Linked DNA regions of Nothobranchius furzeri. The protein of the gene in region 3 interacts with the protein of the main gene of each other region in a biochemical or structural test. Links are inferred from orthologs where the notes say so. Each region holds a gene or a part of one and is shown on either strand. Other genes may lie near its edges.

Evidence for each region.
Region 1: of the proteins of irak1 (region 3) and irak4, one has a biochemical effect on the other in vitro, tested with the Homo sapiens proteins (2 studies listed by BioGRID). The link is inferred for Nothobranchius furzeri from reciprocal best matches to the Homo sapiens genes IRAK1 and IRAK4.
Region 2: the proteins of irak1 (region 3) and irf7 form a complex in vitro, tested with the Homo sapiens proteins (2 studies listed by BioGRID, with this or other methods). The link is inferred for Nothobranchius furzeri from reciprocal best matches to the Homo sapiens genes IRAK1 and IRF7.
Region 4: the proteins of irak1 (region 3) and ikbkg form a complex in vitro, tested with the Homo sapiens proteins (3 studies listed by BioGRID). The link is inferred for Nothobranchius furzeri from reciprocal best matches to the Homo sapiens genes IRAK1 and IKBKG.

The regions. Positions count from the first base shown.
Region 1 is NC_091744.1:60,867,762-60,871,956, forward strand, and holds part of irak4 (interleukin-1 receptor-associated kinase 4), read left to right. Parts: coding exon 1-116; intron 117-186; coding exon 187-251; intron 252-315; coding exon 316-430; intron 431-500; coding exon 501-610; intron 611-832; coding exon 833-1,019; intron 1,020-2,666; coding exon 2,667-2,729; intron 2,730-2,852; coding exon 2,853-3,017; intron 3,018-4,195.
Region 2 is NC_091744.1:76,076,160-76,081,417, forward strand, and holds the end of irf7 (interferon regulatory factor 7), read left to right. Parts: intron 1-158; coding exon 159-330; intron 331-415; coding exon 416-510; intron 511-591; coding exon 592-643; intron 644-728; coding exon 729-848; intron 849-1,521; coding exon 1,522-1,718; intron 1,719-1,823; coding exon 1,824-2,025; intron 2,026-2,101; coding exon 2,102-2,217; intron 2,218-3,062; coding exon 3,063-3,254; 3' UTR 3,255-3,678; downstream 3,679-5,258.
Region 3 is NC_091755.1:47,771,228-47,776,227, reverse strand, and holds the end of irak1 (interleukin-1 receptor-associated kinase 1), read left to right. Parts: coding exon 1-74; intron 75-440; coding exon 441-535; intron 536-1,575; coding exon 1,576-2,005; intron 2,006-2,092; coding exon 2,093-2,173; intron 2,174-2,296; coding exon 2,297-2,415; 3' UTR 2,416-3,113; downstream 3,114-5,000.
Region 4 is NC_091755.1:44,548,733-44,554,175, forward strand, and holds part of ikbkg (NF-kappa-B essential modulator), read left to right. Parts: intron 1-272; coding exon 273-347; intron 348-626; coding exon 627-833; intron 834-1,093; coding exon 1,094-1,155; intron 1,156-1,595; coding exon 1,596-1,643; intron 1,644-1,822; coding exon 1,823-1,925; intron 1,926-1,998; coding exon 1,999-2,114; intron 2,115-2,201; coding exon 2,202-2,354; intron 2,355-2,440; coding exon 2,441-2,714; intron 2,715-5,443. UniProt on the Homo sapiens protein: Regulatory subunit of the IKK core complex which phosphorylates inhibitors of NF-kappa-B thus leading to the dissociation of the inhibitor/NF-kappa-B complex and ultimately the degradation of the inhibitor.

The DNA.
Region 1 (4,195 bases), on a different chromosome or scaffold from region 3:
ACTTTGACGACCGCTCAATATCAAATGGAGGTCGCCGTCTTGGAATGGGGGGCTTTGGAACGGTCTACAAAGGTTTCCTGAATGTCATAGCTGTGGCAGTGAAAAAACTCAATCCAGTAAGTGGGGATGTGCTTTCTGTAAAGCAGATGTTTTGGAGTTGTGATGCAGAAACACGGTCTCTTACAGGTGGAAGACATGCCGCTGGACAAGCTGAAAGTTCAGTTCGACCAAGAAATCCAAACTTTGAAAGTGTAAGTTGTGTCTGTCTGTCCTGCTCCCGGTAAACTCAGCTGACTCACCCTGTTCACTCCACAGGTTGAAACATGAGAACTTGGTCGACATGATTGGATTTTCCTGTGATGAGCAGCAGCTGTGTATCGTATACGCCTTCATGGCGAACGGATCTCTGCTGGATCGACTAGCCTGCTTGGTAAACACCTTTCTTCTCTGCTCTCTAACACCAAAGCAAGACGTTTACCTGCTTGTGTTTGTCCACGAAGGACGGAAGTCCTCCCTTGTCCTGGAGACAGAGGTGTTTGATAGCAGAGGGGACAGCCAGAGGGTTGGAGTACCTACACCTGAACCATCATGTACACAGGGATGTCAAAAGGTACATAGATGGAAGTCCTTCTGCAGTAGGGTCAGGATTAGGCTAACCCTGACCTTTAAATGTTTCTGTCCTGCTGGATTTAAGATAAAATTATTTTAAACATGAATCTGCAGCCGGCAGCTGATCGGGACTGCCTCTTAGCAGAAAACATCAACAAACAAGCCAAACACTTCTTCATAATAAACAAAAGTAAAATACTTTCTGTACATTTTCCCCTTTTAGTGCAAATATCCTGTTAGATGAAAATCTTGTGGCAAAAATCTCAGACTTTGGCCTCACAAGAGCTTCGGCCAAGCACACCTCGACAACCATGATGACAGAGAGGATTGTGGGTACTCGTGCATATATGGCACCTGAGGCACTGAGAGGAGAAGTCACCCCCAAATCTGACGTCTTCAGCTTTGGTGTGGTGAGTTTCTCACTCGTGCGCGCGCACACACACACACACACACACAGTGTTTTCTGCCCTTCTGAGACTTTTCAGTATTTGCTACTATAAACTTCAGAAGAGACAACACAAATGTGGATCAGGGAATTGCAAATGAATGCACAGAGAAGGAAGTAGACATATTCCTGCTCATGACGCCGAAAGACAAATAGAATGGAGTCTGTAGAAAGTTGAGCGGTAATTTAATATCCACGGACACGTTTAGCATCTGTGTTTATGTCCGTAAACCAGAGATGGGAATCGTGGCATCAACAAGTCATCTCCATGTTTTTGTTCTGCTCAGCACCTGAACACGTTTCATTCGCTGTGCTGATTGAAATCACCTGGTTTAGTTGTTAAGCTGAAGAAAAACACGGCGCACGGACTTGTTGATTCCACAATTCCCCATCTCTGCCGTAAACACAGCTGGCTGTGGGTGATGTCACTTCCTCTGTGCATAAGGGCCACTGCAGGGTCGTGAACTGTTTAAGCCTGATGGTAGTGCTGTTTAAATAATATTGTGAAGGATAATGCAAAAAATACTTAAAATAGAATCTAGCCTTAAACATTTTTAAACGCACCAAGTTAGAAATCCTTTAAAAAAATCACGAATTTTAATGAAGAACCTTCAGACTTTTAAACTGACTTAAAAAAAAGAGCAACAAATGATTAACAATAGAACAATAACATGTATTTATAAGGACCATGTAGTGTCACGGTTCAGTGTAGGTAGGACCCAAAATGCAGTACCCAGGATGACACGAGGCTGAGATGATGATTAAGAAAATCCTTTATTTTAAGGAGAACAAAAATAAGTCCAAAGGCTGGAAGCCAAAATCCAAAAAAGTCCAGATAATGATCTGGACATCCAAAAAACACTCGAGACACGAGAAGACCAAGAACACAGTAATCCAAGACGAGAGAATGGACCGACACCAAACAGAGACAAGACAGGGCTTAAATACAAAGAGAGAACATTTAAGGAAACAGGTGTATGGAGTGAAGGCTGGAGAGAAGACATCTAAATGTGGGAAACAGAACCAATGGAGGGCAGATAACCTCAAACCCAAAACTAAACCTAAAACAGAAGGAAGGACTCACACAAACACTGAGCAGGGGAATGGCACAGTACCTGGGAGGAATTGACTTTACAACATAAGACACCTAACTGAAATGCAGACAAAGGACACATGAGGGCGCTAAGAGACACAAAAGGGAATCTAGAGAGGGATGGAGGACAGCAGGAGGCACATGAAGAAAGGGGCAGACGCAGACCATGACATTTAGAGCATGTTCTCTACATGTATGTGAAGGTGTGAGGACCGTGTAAACTGAAGGAGCCGAGGCTGCTGAATAGGTGGTAAGAGTAAAGGTGGATGGATTAACGACTAGTTAATTACCAACAGGTTGCATATGAATTAATGTGGTAGCGGTCACAGGATGTTGTAACCACAGGTTAGCAGTTCCTGTCATTCTGTTTCGTTTTTATATGGAAACAATGTTCACCTGAAATTCTATTTAATGCTCCTCTCATCCGTTCAGCTGCAGGGATGCGACCCATTTAGTTATAATAAATGTTTCCTGTTGCCCTGAGTGCTGTAATTACCCCCGTCTCTCTGCCATCTACAGGTGCTGTTAGAAATATTATCTGGACTCGCTCCGGCCAATGAGAACAAGGAGCCTCAGCTGCTGGTAAGCTGCACAAAAGAGGCTTTCTCTGTCGGGCTTGACTCTGTGACTACAGCTCAGACCTAAGACGTCAGGACTGGGTGGAGTCAAATCAAACCCATGTTCCCATTTTCTCTCTCCCCTCAGATGGAGATCAGGTACGACATCGATGATGAAGATGAAGAGCTGACTCTGGAGGATTTTGTGGATAAGAAGATGAGCGACTGGGAGCTGAGCCAGGTGGAGACCATCTACTGTTTGGCTTCGAACTGCTTACATGACCGAAAGAACAGACGGCCGGTCATCAAACAGGTAGTGAGGCACGAGACACAGCTGTGGTACATTCAGAGACAAAATACAGTTTTAATGAACCCGTATTTAACTGAATAAGTGAAAAGGTTCATAGTAATTTAATATTTCTTTTACCAGCTGGTTTTAACTCATAAAACAGAAAACAAGTCTTATATACTTGTTTGAAACCTTTGTAGCTGAAGTTTTGGGTTCATTTATCAATCTTCACTGAAGCTTTTACAGATAATGGTGCACCTGACCCTACACACCACTAGGTGTCGCTAAAACTGCAACATTCCAGTCTGGGAACTCCTATTCTTCCATATTCACTGTTGAATCTTTTTACAAAGAGATCAAAACTGGGAGGGGAATCTAAATAAAAGGCATTCAGCCAAATAAAATATTAATAAAAATAATGAAATCAGAGTAACTTTTCAAGGACATGTGATTCAAATCCCAGGTTTCACAAGTTTGTAGGATTTCCTTTTTCCACCTTCGGAATATTGCTAAGATTAGATGCATCCTTTCCAGGAGGGATGCTGAAAAACTAGTTCATGCATTTATCACATCAAGACTGGATTACTGTAATTCATTACTCTCAGGAAGTCCACAGAATGTAGTTAAAAGTCTTCAGCTTGTCCAAAATGCTGCAGCTAGAGTTCTGATGAGAATTAAAAAGAGAGATCATATCTCTCCTGTCTTAGCTTCCCTACATTGGCTACCTGTTAAATTCAGAATAGATTTTAAGATCCTTCTTCTCACATATAAAGCTCTTAATAATCAAGCTCCATCATACATCAGTGATCTGATTGTTCTATACGTTCGTAATCGAGCACTTCGCTCTCAGACTGCAGGTCTACTGGTGGTTCCAGGAATATCTAAAATTAGGATGGGAGGCAGATCTTTTAGTTATCAGGCTCCTCTCCTGTGGAACCAGCTCCCAGCTTTAGTCCGTGAGGCAGACACTTTGTCTACTTTTAAGAATAGGCTTAAAACATTTTTATTTGATAGGGCCTCATGGAGGGGGGGGGGGGCATCGACTAGCACACTGCTGCTAACCACTTAAACATTCTCTCTCTCCTGATAATAACTTTTTGGTTTCCTTGACTTTTGATGTGCTAATTCTAGTTTATCCGTTTAATTATAGATCCACTAGGATAAATACAATAAAGTTTATCTTTCACCAAATAGAATATTTA
Region 2 (5,258 bases), on a different chromosome or scaffold from region 3:
TCTGAGTTGTTACTTTTTAAAGTTCAGAGTACAGTAAGCCCCAAACTTTATTCAAACTCTGAAAGTATAACGTTAAAATGAAAAATTCATTTCAAACGTCCAGTTTCACAAACATAAAACGTATTTGGGCTCATGCCGCGTGTGTCTGTGGTCCACAGGCCTGGGCAGTGGCAAGTGGAAAAATCAACGAGTTCCCCAACGACAAGGCCAGGTGGAAAACCAACTTCCGCTGTGCTCTCAACAACCTCACCATGCGCTTCAAGATGATCAAAGATGATTCCAAGAATCCAGACGACCCTCATAAGATCTACGAGATTGTCAACACTGAGTGTAAGAGCGTTGATCCAGCTCAGCAGTGGGAATCGTTTTGAGTTATTGGGAGAAAAACCATAATGATCCATTCTTCAAATTGCAGACAAAATTGAGGGTCTTCCAACACAAGACTCCGGTTGTGATATGACTCCAGAGATTTACAGCCCTTCCACAGAGTTCTTCCTCTCAGGAAACGAGGTGCAGTTTAAGGAACTTTCACTTCCGTTAAGTGGTTGGACATCTACTCGAATGCTCACGCTTTTTCCTTTTTCCACTCAGCATAACCTACATAACGATTTAATGGCTCTGGATCTTGGTACTCAACCAACAGGTATAATTTATATTAAAAACAACCTTTTTTACAATGTCTGTGGTTTATTATAAAGCTAAGAAGCCCATTTTGAATTTGGATACAGATGAGCAGCTGTGGGGGGAGAATTGTGTCCAGCACGACCCCGCGGTTCTTGGAAACTATCCTGCTGCAGCGGAGACCCTCCCGCCATTTTTACCAGACGATCAGCAGATCTACAACGACAGTATGTTCAGTCAAAGAGAGTTGAGCGATTTATTAGAAAACAAGCAAAAAAAGTTGTGAAAAATGGTCCTTTAAAGGTGTTTTTTATCGAAAAAAACCCACTTTTAATGATTGTTTCTAATATTTATCGGTCACTGAGTTTTTCATGCAGGCTGAACGTGAAAATAGTCTCCTACACCTATCTCCTGCATTGGCTTCTGAAGGAAAATAGACTGTGAAACTCCAGGATTAGAAACGCCTGACAGATCTACGTCACACTCACGACGGGGAAGGCTGTTGTTGGTTTAGCGTCGAGGAAACAGCAGGGAACGTCTCGGCTAGTAGAAGCTAACTTCTAGAATTAGCAACTCCACCACATGACAAAACAGTTCCAGGCTTGTGTTATTTGTAGAGATAAAACATCAATGTTGCAAAGTCAACGGGGTCAGTAGAGTCGCATTGCTTTTACCCAGTCAGAGGTGAGATGTCCAAATTTCAGGAAATAAGACTCCAAACCCTGCCGTCTGAAGCTCTCCTCTGATCTGGCATTCTTATAGATCCCGAAGCAGGCGCACCAGGGTGTCTTTTCCCCAGAGTACGACTTAAAAGGCATTCATTCCTACTAGAGACCACTGCAAAGGAATTGATTAAATGAGTGAACTGCACCTATAAATATCCCCGCCCTCTCTTTACAGTAAACCACGCCCCCGTCCTCGGTTCACCTCAGCAGCCCAGTCTGTATGACTTTGAGGTATTCATCTACTACAGAAATAAAAAAATGCTAAAGACGACGGTGCAAACCAACCGTCTTCAGCTCCACTACCACAGCGAAATGCCGGGCTTGCATTCCATCTGCTTTCCGTCTACTGAGGGTCTGCTGGATCACAAGCAGGTACACCCAAACATGGAAGACCTTTTCATTTGCGTCGCTTTAAAACTTGTTTTTATGCATCCTCTGTGATGTGATCTGTTCCTGTCCCGTTCTTTTTCATCACAGGTCGAATACACTAATCGCATCCTCAACAGCATCCAGCGTGGTCTTCTCCTGGAGGTGCAAGATACTGGTATCTACGCTTTGCGGCAGGACAAATGCCACGTCTTCGCCAGCACCAGCGACCCCAGTGTTGCTCAACCTAACCCATCTAAATTACCCAAAAACACCATGGTGGAGCTCCTCAGCTTTAACAAATTTGTTCATGGTGGGTTTTCATCTTTTTAATCAAACCAACGTCAAGTCTAAACAGAAACTAACGGCCCAAATGTGTCTGCTTTTAGAGCTCAAGCAGTTCACGGAAAACAATGGCGGCTCTCCCGAATACACCATAAACATGTGCTTTGGAGAAAAGTTCCCTGATGGAAAACCTCTGGAAAAGAAGCTCATCACCGTGAAAGTAAAACTTCTGTTCACATCTTCCAGCATGTCACCGAATTTTTTTAGCTCGTATTAGCTCATAGACGTTTCAATTCAATTCAATTCAAGTTTATTTATGTAGCGCCAAATCACGACAAGAGTCGTCTCAAGGCACTTCACATAATAAAAATTCCAATTCAGTTCAGTTCATTAAGCCAATCAGAAATAATGTTTCCTATATAAGGAACCCAGCAAATTGCATACAGCAATCCTCATACCAAGCAAGCATAAAGCGACAGTGGAGAGGAAAACTCCCTTTTAACAGGAAGAAACCTCAAGAGAATCCTGGCTCAGTATAAGCAGCCATCCTCCACGACTCACTGGGGATCGAGAAGACAGAGCACACACACACACACACACACACACACACACACACACGCGCACACACACACACACACACACCAAGTAATGTGTCTACAGTTATATTGTGATGTCTTAGTAAATATTCTATTTGGTGAAAGATAAACTTTATTGTATTTATCCTAGTGGATCTATAATTAAACGGATAAATTAGTATTAGCACATCAAAAGTCAATGAAAACAAAAAGTTATTATCAGGAGAGAGAGAATGTTTAAGTGGTTAGCAGCAGTGTGCTAGATGATGGCTCCCTCCATGAGGCCACCACAGCTCAGCAGAACATCGTTGTAGCTTCTTCTGGGGAGAAAAACACTTAGAGAAAATAAAGTTAACAGCTGAAATTGCACAAAATAGTACAGTTAAAGAGCAGACTGTAGAAGAATGCAGTAGAGTGTGAGAAGTGGTCAGTGTGTCCTCCAGCAGTCTAAGCCTATAGCAGCATAACTACAAATCCTTCCTCCCTGCAGGTGGTGCCTCTGATCTGTAAACATCTTCACGACGTCGCCCAGGCGGAGGGGGCTTCTTCTCTTCACAGCACCAACGTCAGCCTGCAGATTTCCCACAACAGCCTCTTTGATCTCATCAGCTCGGTGTTTTCTCCGCCTGCGGCCGAAGAGCCGGCACACCTGACTAGTGCACCCTTCCTTAATCAGATGTGAAATCTGATTTCTTTTGTTAAAGTAGCTTAAGTGAGAATCACTTTATGTCCATAACATAATAGATAAACTGACTTTTTTAACCACTACATGAGTAGAAACAAGCTCATCCATTAGCAAACTGTTACAAACCCATTTTTATAGAAGAAATTACCATTTAAAAGTAATGATTTGTTGAGCTGGTATCATCTGTTTGTTATAAGAAAGTAAATCCTGTTTAGGTTTTATTAATATATTTATTATATGTAAAGATAGAAATATTTGTATATTACTCTTCATGTGTGTTACGTTCTGTTTGAACATCAGTTAAACCTTTACTGCTGGTTACTTTTCTTGTCGTAACAAATAGAATTTGCATTATTTAAATAAGCTTGAATGTTGTAATCTTTATCATGTAAGGTGATCTAATAAATATATTTGTAGCGTAGTAATTATTGTATGTATTTGGGTGCTTTTAAAGCTTAATATACTACCCTACACTTTGACCAATGTGATGTGAATTTCCATATAAATATGGGAATCCAGTCTGATTGGTCTTTAACCAGAAGGTTTAGAATGATTTGTTTATTCTGGGATTGTAGAAGACTTTGCATTAATTCAAGAAGAGAGTCAAGTTTATAAAAAGTAAGAATTTATTTTCCAAACAATTAAAACATGACAAGTTAACTAAGACTACTGTGATGGATGGATCTAGGTGGATGGGATGTAATGTATGGTGACTGTGTGAATGTGAGGTTATCAGAACTTTCGCATCTAGAAGAACTGAGTTCTGGGTGTAAAAAGGAGAATTTGGTTTGCTTTAACCAGGAAGTTGATTCTTATCAAAACCACATCAGACGCGATTCATGCTGTGTCTACCTCACCCTTTTGGAAGACCCTCTTCGCAGATCCGGAGGTCAAGAAGGTCGGATGACCTCTGGGCACAGAGGTTCAGTAGATTAACCGCAGCACCGACTCTCCAGTCCAGAGATGTTTCCCGAGTCACAACAGATCGATGGAATTGTTTGCGTCTAGAAGGACTCTTAGGGAGTCGGAACTGGGTCAGCTTTGTTCTGCAGGAACCGTTTGCTGTGTCAGCTTCAGCGTGTAGCAGGGTTTTTGACAGCTTGTCAAAAATGCTCTGGGTTAAAGAGGTTTCGCTCCGGACGGCCGTTCCGTAGCTTTCTCTGGAACTGACTCACGGTGAAGTGAGCTCTGTTTTAATATTCTCATGTTATGGTTTACTTGTCCAATCGGAACGTGCCATGTTAAGAGGTGTTAACAAGCAAACCTCAGAACATCACGCCTTCTTTCAGATACAGGATGCTCTGATTTGTGGGTAAGAAAATATGTATGTGTCATAACGTTTAACTTTAATTTATCTCTAATGAACCTTGTGTCTGAGTGTAGATGATGATTACCTTGTCATATCAAACATTACTGATCATCATATATAAATCTTTCAATGTAATAAAAACACTCATTTCAAACCAGTCATTCAAGCACAGATTAATCAACCTTATTAATGTAAGCACAGATTAATCAAGTTATTATTATTATTCATATAACATTTGTTCATTCAACCACATTGTTCATTCACTATTATAACAGTTCAGTCCTTTCTTCTGTGCAGGACGGCCTAGATAAGAAGACAGACTTGGCACAGAAGGACCTTGAGAAATCAATCAATCAATCAATCAAAGCTTTATTTATAAAGCGCCTTCCACAACCCTGTCAGGAAGCCCAAGGCGCTGAACATGGTACAGTAGAAGTACAAATATAGTGAATAAATCAAAAATAAGAGCAATTCAGAAATAAAAGCAATACAAATTACAAAAAAAGGTGAAACATTCTAGTACAGGACAGATGGGTAAAACAAGGGATAGAGTTGTAATAAAAATGAACTTGTCATCTGTTGTATAATTGCTTTATACAAGTTATTGATCACTACTGTTTGTCAATCACACTTATCATGAGGATAATCATGGTAGAGCCGAACATAATGTGATCATGAGGATGTAATCAAGG
Region 3 (5,000 bases):
GGAGGTGGAGGACCATCCAGACGGCTCGTCTGCAGAGGCGTGGAGAAAACATCTGGACCGGCGACTGGTTGCAGGTGTGTGAAAAAAGCTGCAGCTTGTTTTCTGGTTCAGTCTTCACATCCTCACAGAAATCAGTCAAGTCGTCACGTCAGTCAGTAAATCATTGATTAGTTAAAAAAATCACCAATAAATAAACAAATAAGTCATAAAATCTTCAAAAGAGAGTCGATCTGTCAACGGGGGCTCCATCTTCACCACAGAGCGCTGGTCTTGATAATCCTCTAGATCTCCTGCTGCTCACTTCCCTCACTAGTGAACCTCGACCCAGAGGAGGTGACCCACCCCCCATACCAGAACCATGGCCTTGGATATGATCCAGACTCCTTCAGAACTTGACTGTTCTGCTGCGTTTATCAGATCCATGATGCTTCTGTTTGCAGGAGGAGCTGCAGAGCCTGATGGATACCTGCAGGTGGCAGCACTCGCCTGCAGAAGCCTCCACAGGCAGAGGAAGAAGAGGCCAGCGATGAAGGAGGTCAGGGTTTACTTCTTCTGCACGTCTCTGATCCGGGTCTAGGTTCTTGTTCCGGTGCATTAGTAACAGGTTCCAGGTTGCTGTCCCCTTTTTAGCTCCAGCTTCCAAGCGGTTCCAAGCGTACCGAGCAGGGCCAGAACAGCCGCATCACTGCTTGGCTCTAGGGCGGAGTCACGGGTCGAAAGTTTTCCTCCGTCCTTCCTGCCAAGCCATCCATCCATCATCGGCCGCTTATCCGAGGTCGGGTGGCGGGGTCTCTGCCTGCTGCCATTTCGTGGTTGAGTCTGGGAAAAAGCCATAAACCATCCAGCATCACTGTCACATGACCAAACAACGAAACATCATCACCCCCTCGCCCTCTGAAGCAGATATCAGCCCAGCTTTACTTACCGGACCGATACCGATGCAGACATACGCTGCATCCCTACTGCAGACGCAGCACCATCTCCCGATCCATCTTTCCCTGGCACGTGAACAGGACCTCATTCCTGACCCGGAGAAGGCCTTCTACCCTTTTTCGACTCAGACCATAGTCTCCTGGGTGGTGCCTCCCACAACCCCACCCACTGGAGTCGTAAAGGAATACCTCGCTAAAAGGGCCAATCGAAGCTTTTCAGGTGATCCAAGGAGAAAATTCCCAGCCTTTGGATACAGAATTCCTGAATGTGGCCGTAGGAACATTGGGGTTTCTCCTGCTTCCCCTCCAGATCACATGCGTGTCTCACCTTTACAAAATGGTCTCGCACATCTTTAGGAGCCTGTGCAGGAGTTGCACATCAAAACGTAGTTCTCCTCTTACCGTCTGTGGAAACTGTTGAGCCCTAAAATCTGTGACCTTTGACCCAAGGAGGGCGCTGTGGGGTCTGGAGCCACGCTTAACCAGGTCCAGCTGCGGTGTGGAACGTGGACAAACTGTTGACACGGGGGCTGTTCTACGTCTGGAGAGAAGAGGAGAATGTCCACCTGTCTTCGGTCCCGGTCCTCTGTCCGCCCTACGAAGGTGTCCTGCTGTCTCTCACTGATGAGTTTTTTTCTTTCAGGTGTTTGACAAACTTCACGGTCTCAACGACGGCGTGAAGAAGGCCCAGAACCCCTACCGGTCCTTCCCCACACCCCCCAGCTCTCTGGACCCCAGTGTGGAACCCTGCGACTCCTACGCCGCTCTCACCCCTCCCAACCGCCTCCTCTCCTCCTCCCTTCCCCTCCCCTCCACCTCCTTGGCCGGCCCGTGTGAAACAGACGAGAGCCGAGGATGCTCCCAGTATGAACTCCGGTCTCAGACCAGCTCCCAGGACCACAGTGTACGGCGGCCTCCAGAACACCAGTGCCACCAGCCTTCGGTTCCCACCGAGGATCAGTACAACTTCCCTTCCCAGTCCAGCAGCATTTCCGGGCCCGGCGCCGTGGCGACAGAACTCTCTGGGTTCTCTCCTGCAGGTTCCCTCCAGTCGGCCTCACCTCAACCCTCAGGTGTGTCAGCATCCGGACCAGAACCAGACCAAAGGTTGTTCTGGTGTTAGCGGTTCGGACCTGTAACCCTGTTGGTGTTCTGTTCAGTGTGTTTGTGTCCCAGTCAGGCGCCCCAGAATGAGCTGGACCGGACCAGAACCCCCGAGCTGCAGTCATTACCTGGCTTCTGTACGTAGAACTCACAGTTCCAGGTCTCAGTCCAAACGGAGTTCCTCGTTTTTCCGGTTTGGTCCTGATTCCCGAGGTGTTGTTTCCAGACTGATGTTTGGTTCTGGTTCTGTGTTCGGTCAGGTGGAGGGACTCGTTCTGAGGAGCTCAGAGGACCAGAAGAAAGCGACGAGCTGGATTATCTCCAGGACAGAACCATGGAACCCCAAATTAAGAGGGAGTTCTTCTCAGGACCACACTAACCGGACCGGACCGGACCGAGTTCTGCTGCCTTCTTGACTCAAACGTTTATTTATTCGTGATCGTTTCACAAATTCAACAGACAAGCATTTCCGAATCCTTCTTGTAAAACACCAAACATTTTAGGCTGTGAATGGATCCGGTTTCATCACATCAGAACCGATGAGTTCTGGTGTGCCGACCACATTCTGGACAGGCGGCCGAGTCCCAAATGTCTCCCTGACAGGGACGGCTGTCCCCTCCCGTCTCCTCTGATGGACTACATGACAGATGTCCCCAAACCAGGTTTCATGAGCGCGTGGAAACAACTCCAGCCTCCCGTTTTCGCTCCGGATCGTCTCCAGAACCGTCCCATCATGGACGAGTACGTTATTCCTTTTTCTTCCTCCGTGAAATAAACACCAGCCGTTCTCCAGCAGGAGGGCGTCTCGGGGTCGACGTTCCAGCAGAATTCCCTTCCAGGACCAGAAAAAGCTTCCAGTCAGAGAATCACTACAATTCCATAATGATTAATAAATAAATAACAGGTTTGTTGATGTTCCAGCTTGATTGATGATGATTGGCCACATTTTTTTCATTATTTCTCCCTAGCAACCAAACGCGATTGGCTGTTTAGCTTCAGGATTCAGGAAGTTCGCTGCTGAATGAGCCCGTTTGTAAATGACTGTTTGCAGACATTAGAATAAAACTGACTTCTTTATGTTTGTTCATGTTCCTCCCCTCCACCTGTGGGAGGATGGCGCCCCCTGTGGGTGTAGGTCCTCACCACAAACAAACCAGTAATCACCAGTTACTGGACTTCCAGAACCGCTGGTCAGCTGGGAGGTCAAAGGTCAGACCCTGTGACCCCCCCTGCTCCTTGCTCAGGTGAACTTCACCTGAACAGGATGCTCTAACAGCCGCTGAGCAACTGCTGTGTCTCGTGCGCGCGCAATGGGCGAGGCGTGTGCGTGTCCGTGGTCGTGAGCGCGCCTGTGGTGCTGATGCTGCAGCGCGGCTGAAGAGGAGGAGGTGGAGGATGAAGAGGAGCGATCAGATCAATGATCCCACATGATCGATCAGACCAGCGGACAGGGTTCGGAACCGGAACGAAAACCACGTGACTGCCCAGGTAATCCAGGTAGGGATGCGCGACCCACTCCGCTCATTTATGAGAATTGGCGGGGCGCGTGCAGCAGCGCGTGCGCCGTGTTGTTAAACCAGGTTCGGTTCGGCTCTTTTTTCGAACCGAGCTGAAACAACTGAAGTCCAGCTGTTTACTCTGGGGAGGGGGGTTCGGGTTCGGGTTCGGCTCGTTTGGATCTAGTGTTTAGCTGCTGCTGGTAAACAGAACCGGGTGACACGTGACAAGTTCGCTGCAGGTTCAGGAACATTGATTAGTGGCGGGAGTTTATAGTCTCGTGAGGTGTGTGAGGCACAACAGGTCACGTGACCCCAGCTGGAGCGTTCCTTTATGTTGACATGTGAAGTCAGCTGATTCCTGCAAACAAACAAAAAACATCCAAACAACAAAACTTCACGCTGATGCCGTTCCAGCCAATCAGAGAGCAGACAAATGGTCACGTGACTGAGCTCTAAAGGTTTCCTGTTCGAAGGTGAAAACAAACAAACTGGAGATGAATCGAGGACCGGTTCTGACCCAGTGCATCAGCGTGGAGCAGACTCCTGGTTCTAGAGCTGGATCACAACCATGAGGTCAGAGTTCACTCAAGAAACCTAAAGTGGACCCGGGCCCTCTGAAGGACTGGTTCTGATCAGCTTCTGCTCCATTAGAACAGATCTTATTTGGTTCTGAATGAAGATCATAGACTCAACAGGTTCAGGATCTGGGTTCTGGGATGGTTCAGTTTCAGCTGCCGATGGATCTTTAATTTAACACAGTTCTGTTTGGGTTGAACAGAACCTGAATAATGCCAGAACCAAATGAGTCCAAAAAAGATTCTGACCCAACCAGTGGCATGAACAGAACTGGGCCCCTACATGTCATCATACGCAGAAACACATGACCGGACCCGGGCTGAGTTGGTACCGGTCAGAAGATTCAAACGGGTCCAATTCTGCTTTTTAATCAGAAAAGTAAAGCCAACAAATGCAAAGATCAGAACCAAAGGTGCTGCTGGGCCTCAGTCAGAACCCCGAGGCCCAGCTGCTGCAGAGTACCGGTCAGGTCCTCCCAGAGTCCCACAAACCCAGGTGATGGATTCTCCTTCTGCCGCAGTGCCTCAGAGCCAAACGCCCAGTGTGTGTGTGTGTGTGTGTGTGTGTGTGTGTGTGCGCACGTTGCCTCAAAGCTGAATGTAGGTCAGATGGATTCTCTGCACAGCAACCACTGTCAGCTCCTCTCTGATTGGCTGAGAGCCGGAGCCAGTCAGCCAATAACCTTTCACCCCAGAGTGTTTGTATGTATGTGTACTGATGGCGGTTTGGGTCAGAACCAAATTCTGTGTCTATGTTGGGTGGAGTCCCTGATGAATAAAACTCCGACTCCCAGAATTCCCTGCTGCTGGTGTAACGGGCTGATTGTCTGAAGCAGTAAAATCTGAAGATGAACTCGTGTAGAAAGTTCTGCAGATGTTTGTGCTGCTGC
Region 4 (5,443 bases), about 3.2 Mb from region 3:
AGAAACAGCGTGTTAGCCTCGTTCACTTGCATTCATTGTGTCTTCATTCTGGGGACCGTGGTCCAGAAGTAGAAGGGTTAGGGTTAGGCTACCGACGGGGAGATGTGGTTGTTCAGTCAGGATGGAGACAGTAAAAACTGCAGCTGTCAACAGAAATACAGCAAACGTTTGTAATCAGTACGCTGCTCTTGAGTATCAGGATGCTTCTGTGAGGCTGAAGCAGCCGATGGACTTGGTGCTCTTCTAATCGGAAGTCTGGTTTATGTTTCCAGACTCTGGACCAGTGGGAGAGGAAACGGGTCGATGAATCAGAACAGCAGACTCAGACCACCCCGCTCCGCAGCCTGGTGAGCTGGTCCCGTGTGCCGTAGCCCCGCCCACTCTCTGACATCCCCACCTCATATTATGGTCTGTAGAATAATGTCAGACTGCTTCAAACAGCAGCAAACATGAATATTATTTAAAACACAGTTTTATGACTTGACTCAGCTAAATAAACGAGGTCCCGCCCATAAAACAGACCGACGGGACGATGGCGGTAGGACCACGAGTGAAATGGAATGGGTCCTGAACCAGTGAAATGGGCTGAAGTTGGTTTTAGATGACATGTGTGCTTCCCCCTTCAGCCTGTGGAGGGCGCCAACGAGTTCCTGCAGCTGCTGAAGAGCCACAAAGAGAAAACAGAGGAAGGGACGAGAGAACTGAAGAGGAAGACCGAAGAGCTGGAGAGGAGAAATGAGGAGCTGATGAAGAAGATGGCGGAGGGAGAGGAAGACAAAGAGCAAATGCGGCGTTGCATCGACCATCTTCGATCCAAACTGCTGCAGGCGCAGGTGACGCTGTGATCTGAGCATGCTCAGACTTCTCTACGTAGTTTTATTTATGTTTTACATTACGCTGTAACTCCGCTCCGGTCCTGGAGGTCCGGTATCCGGCACGTTTTGGCTTTAACTCTGCTCCAGCACAGCCCCTGATGAGCTGCTGCACAGGTGAATCAGGGAAACCACTAAAACGTGCTGCATACCGGACCTCCAGGACTGGAGTTGAATACCCCTGTTCTAGCACCTCCCCTATGTGTGCGTGTGTTTTACAGGCTAGCGGCGGCGCCGAGGAAACCGTTCTGCTTCGCTCTGAGGCGCAGCATTCCTCCGACTGGTACGACACCGTCCACCGTCCCGCGTCCCAAACCCGCTCTGACCCGAACTCTAGCTGCTGGATAACTCTGATGCAGATTACAGATGCTAGCATGCTACTTCTCTCTTCTGCTTAACTAAAACCTTTAAAACTCCTTCTCCTCCTCCTCCTCTTCCTCCTCCTTTTCCTCCTCCTCTTCCTCCTCCTCTTCCTCCCCCTCCTCCTCTTCCTCCTCCTCTTCCTCCCCCTCCTCCTCCTCCTCTTCCTCCTCCTCTTCCTCCCCCTCCTCCTCTTCCTCCTCCTCTTCCTCCCCCTCTTCCTCCTCCTTTTCCTCTTCCTCCTCCTCTTCCTCCTCCTCTTCCTCCTCCTCCTCCTCTTCCTCCTCCTCCTCCTCCTCCTTTTCCTCCTCCTCTTCCTCCCCCCCCCCCCTCCTCCTCCGTCTCTTTTTGTCCCTTTTCCAGTTTGGGCTTGGCTAAGCTCACAGAGCAGCTCCAGGCCACTCAGGGCAGGTGAGCCCGCAGCTCCTCTTCCTCTCGCTGTCTTCGTGCCGTCCTGCTCGTCGTTCTGTGTTTTGCTGTTGCTCGTCCATCACGCGTGCTGCAGATTGTTCTGGTTGATGAACCGCTCTAATGACAGTCGCTTGAGTGTGTCGCTGCAGCTGGAAGTGACGCACGAGTTTCCTCTGCAGGTACCGGGAGTTGGAGGAGAAGCTGGACTACCTGCAGAAGAGCTCGGCCCAGCGAGACAGAACCGAAGCTCTGCTCAAGCAGAAGGACAAGGACTGTGCCCAGGTAGGACAGTCTGAGTGTGGAGCTTCAGCTGGCGGCTCTGGTTTGGTGGTTTAAGCTGCGTCTGCTTTTGCAGCTCTCCAAAGACTGTGAGACTCTGAAGGTGCAGGTAACCTCCCTGTTAGGAGAACTGAACGAGAGGCAGAGCTGCCTGGAGAAAAGCGATCACGAGCGCAAAATTCTGGAGGAGAAGTGAGCAGCTGCATCGTGTCAGCATCCCTGTAAACACGGAGCCTTCTCTGATGCTTGGGCTGTGGGTTTTGCTCCTGTTTGCTCCAGGCTGGTCAGCAAGGTGAAGTCCTTGCAGGCAGCAGAGCGGGAGCTGGAGCAGCTGAAGAAGCAGCACCATGTGGCCAAGGACAAGCTGCTGCTGCAGGTCCAGAGCTTGGAGCAGGCGCTGAAGACGGAGAGACACGTCGTGACCGAGGAGAGGTGGCTTCCCGCTGCGATAGCGACATTCCCATCAGAAAGGGCGTGTGTGTGGAGAAGCTGAGCGTTTCTGTTTCCTGTCCCCTCAGGAAGAAGCTGACGCAGCTGCAGCACGCCTACACCTGCTTGTTTAGAGACTACGATGCCAAACTGAAGAATGAGGTGAATAAAGTCGCAGACACACGCCCAGCGTTGCTTCTGTTGTGCCGACTCTGGTCTCTCCTACAGGAGGGAGATCTCAGCAGCCGACTGGAGGAGGCGGAGCGAGCGCTGGCGCTCAAGCAGGACACCATCGATAAACTGAAGGAGGAGGTGGAGCAGCAGAAAGGCTCGCTAGAAACCGTCCCTGTCCTCACTGCACAGGTCGGGTCACTCTCTCTCCTCCTGTCTGCACCGCTTTACTTCACCAGGCTCCGCCCTGGTGTCTACACACTCCAGCTGTTTCAGGTCCTTACTCTGGCTTTACAGGACGGAAGGGACACCGTCACCATTGGTTTTAAAGTCACAGATTAAAGGGATCCTGTGCAGGTCAGCTTGCCTTTAGCACCCCCTAGTGCCTGAAACGCGTCAGTGTAACAGCTGGAACGTCTCCTCAGCCTTCGTTAGCGTCTGCAGGAGCGGTTCCTCGCTAAAGCCAACCACTCAGCTGAGCTGGTGGTCTAAAACGTGCCGAAGCAGCTGCAGCGCCAGCAGCTCAGCTCTACTGCACCAGCAGCCCGGATCGACGTTCTGAGGTGATGAGTGACGTTTTGGGCGGTGGGGTGGGAGAGACATTCGTTAGGCCTGTGAGGGTCGTTTAGCGCATACTGGCTCAAGGAGATGAGGTGAAGGTGAAAAGGTTGCTCTCTGCTGCGGCGCCTGCAGTTGTGCTAAATGCTGCAGCCCGTCTGCCAGCGGGACTCGGCGCTCTGAGCACATCACCCCCTTCTGCCTGCTGCTTTTAGGATGGATTTAAATGTTTAAACGGACAGGCACCTCCTTACCTACCAGAGATTCTGAACTAGCATGGTCCTACGAGACGTTTGAGGCCTTTAGAGTCCCAGGACTCGTCTAGTGACCCGAGGGGACGGGACCGGCTCTGCTGTGGGCCCAGACTGCAACAATCTGTCCCTGCCACGAGGACGGCGGAGTCTCTGAATGAGTTTAGCTTGGCTTTAGTCTCAGGTGAGCGTGTTGGTCCTGTCGTCATGGTACTTACTGTCTGGCTTGTACTGGACAGCCTGTGGCCGCTCTGCTGTGGAAAGGCTGGTCGTCTCTTTAAAGAGCTACTTGCTGGTTAAACCCGCGTGCAGAGACACATGACAGGAGCTCCGTCTAAACAAAAATGGACACATGCATAAATGATTTAGGCTTTTGGACTCGTCTTTGTGAGAAAAACCTTTTTCCTGCCTAACCAGACGCGGCGCAGGCAGAGGGAGTCCCGTTAGCCGGCTCCAGAGAAAGAAACCGACTCTGATGCTGCTTCTGACACACAGGAAGTGTCTAATTCTGCTCATGATGGACCACAACATGGGACAGCAGCTCAGGAGGTAGAGCGGGTCGTCCAGTAATCAGAAGGTTGCAGGTTTGATCCCGGCTCGTGCTGTTGTGTCCTTGAGCAACACACTTAACCCACCCTGTGTGCTGGTGGTGGTCGGAGGGACCGGTGGCGCCTGAGCTCAGCAGCCTCGCCTCCGTCAGCGCGCCCCAGGGCAGCTGTGGCTACATGGCAGCTCCTCACCACCAGCGGGTGAACGAGTGCTTGTGTGTGTGTGTGTGTGTGTGTGTGGGGGGGGGGGGGGTTGTAGAAGACAGCCACACCGGTACGAGCCTGCTGCGCGCCCCACAAAGCAGACGAGCCAGAGGGAGAAACCATCGCTGTGCTGTCAGAAGGTTCTGTGGAGCGCAGGGCAGAGAACGATGCTAGCTAAACTGGTGTGCTAACATCACTATGTTGTACGGATTACGAGTGTTTGACTCGGGAATATCCGAACTTGTAACGGAGCTCGGCACTTGAGAGAGCGAGACGGCTCACTTCCTGTTCTGGAGCTCAGGGCGGGCGGTCCTGAGTTGGGTCTGGTGCTGACCGGCTCCAGCAGCCCGCCGGGTATTTTTAAAAGCCTCACTTCCTGTTCTGGAAGATGGGAGGCTTGTTGATCTCCATCAGATCGCTGGGATTGTAATCCTCTGGTCCGAAGTGGGCACCACTACCGACCCCTGGAACGGAAGATGGTGCGTTTTTCCTTCTGGGAAACCCGTGGACTCGATGTCCGGAGACGCTGAAGTGCAGCCTCCACAAACGCTAAAGTTCACCTTCTTAGGAACGTGTAAACAAGTGAACACACACACACACACACACACACACACCCTGACTGGATAACAGCCGCTCTACCCTAAAACTACCTACTGGCCACACTGAGCTTCAGGCAGGACTAGCTGATGACTCCCCTGGTTATAATCTCTCAGCTCAGCCAGCAGCACGGTGAGGTTTTACCCCGTGAGGCGGAAAATATCTAAGTGGTCGGATATTCACCTCAGCGTCTCGTGAGACGGAAACCTCAGTGAAAATCAGGCGCACACGGCGAGTTTCTGCTGAGCTGACGGCCGTTCGAGGCCGTTTGCTGAGCAGTTGGCTCTCGTGTGCGGCAGGCTGCAGCCACATGTTCATGTAGCAAAACCTTATTAAGTATCTGAGCTCTGCTGATGTCTGGGTTGTAAAACGTGGTTTAATGAGCTAGAGATCACTCATACAACCATCCCACGTCCGTGTGCTGATGTACGATGCCCGTGTGTGACCGCAGCTCTCGGCGGTCCAGAGAAGAGGCGGCCAGGTTGGTGATGTCACCAGATGGGAGTGGCTCCTCGTTCTCACTGGCCATAAGATGCCACCAGGTCTGCTAGTCAGGCGTTCCACGTCTGATGAGTTGTTGCGTCTGATTCTCACAAACGTTGCAGAGAGGCTTTGAGCACGAGGTCCAAGTGCTTTGCTCACTGGGAGGCGGAGTAGAACTGGCTAGTCCAGGAAGTGACCTAGCTTTAGTTAACTACTGCTGACAAATTTAGACAGATGAACAAGTTTTAACGGCGCTACCAGAGCACCTGGTTCACGTTAA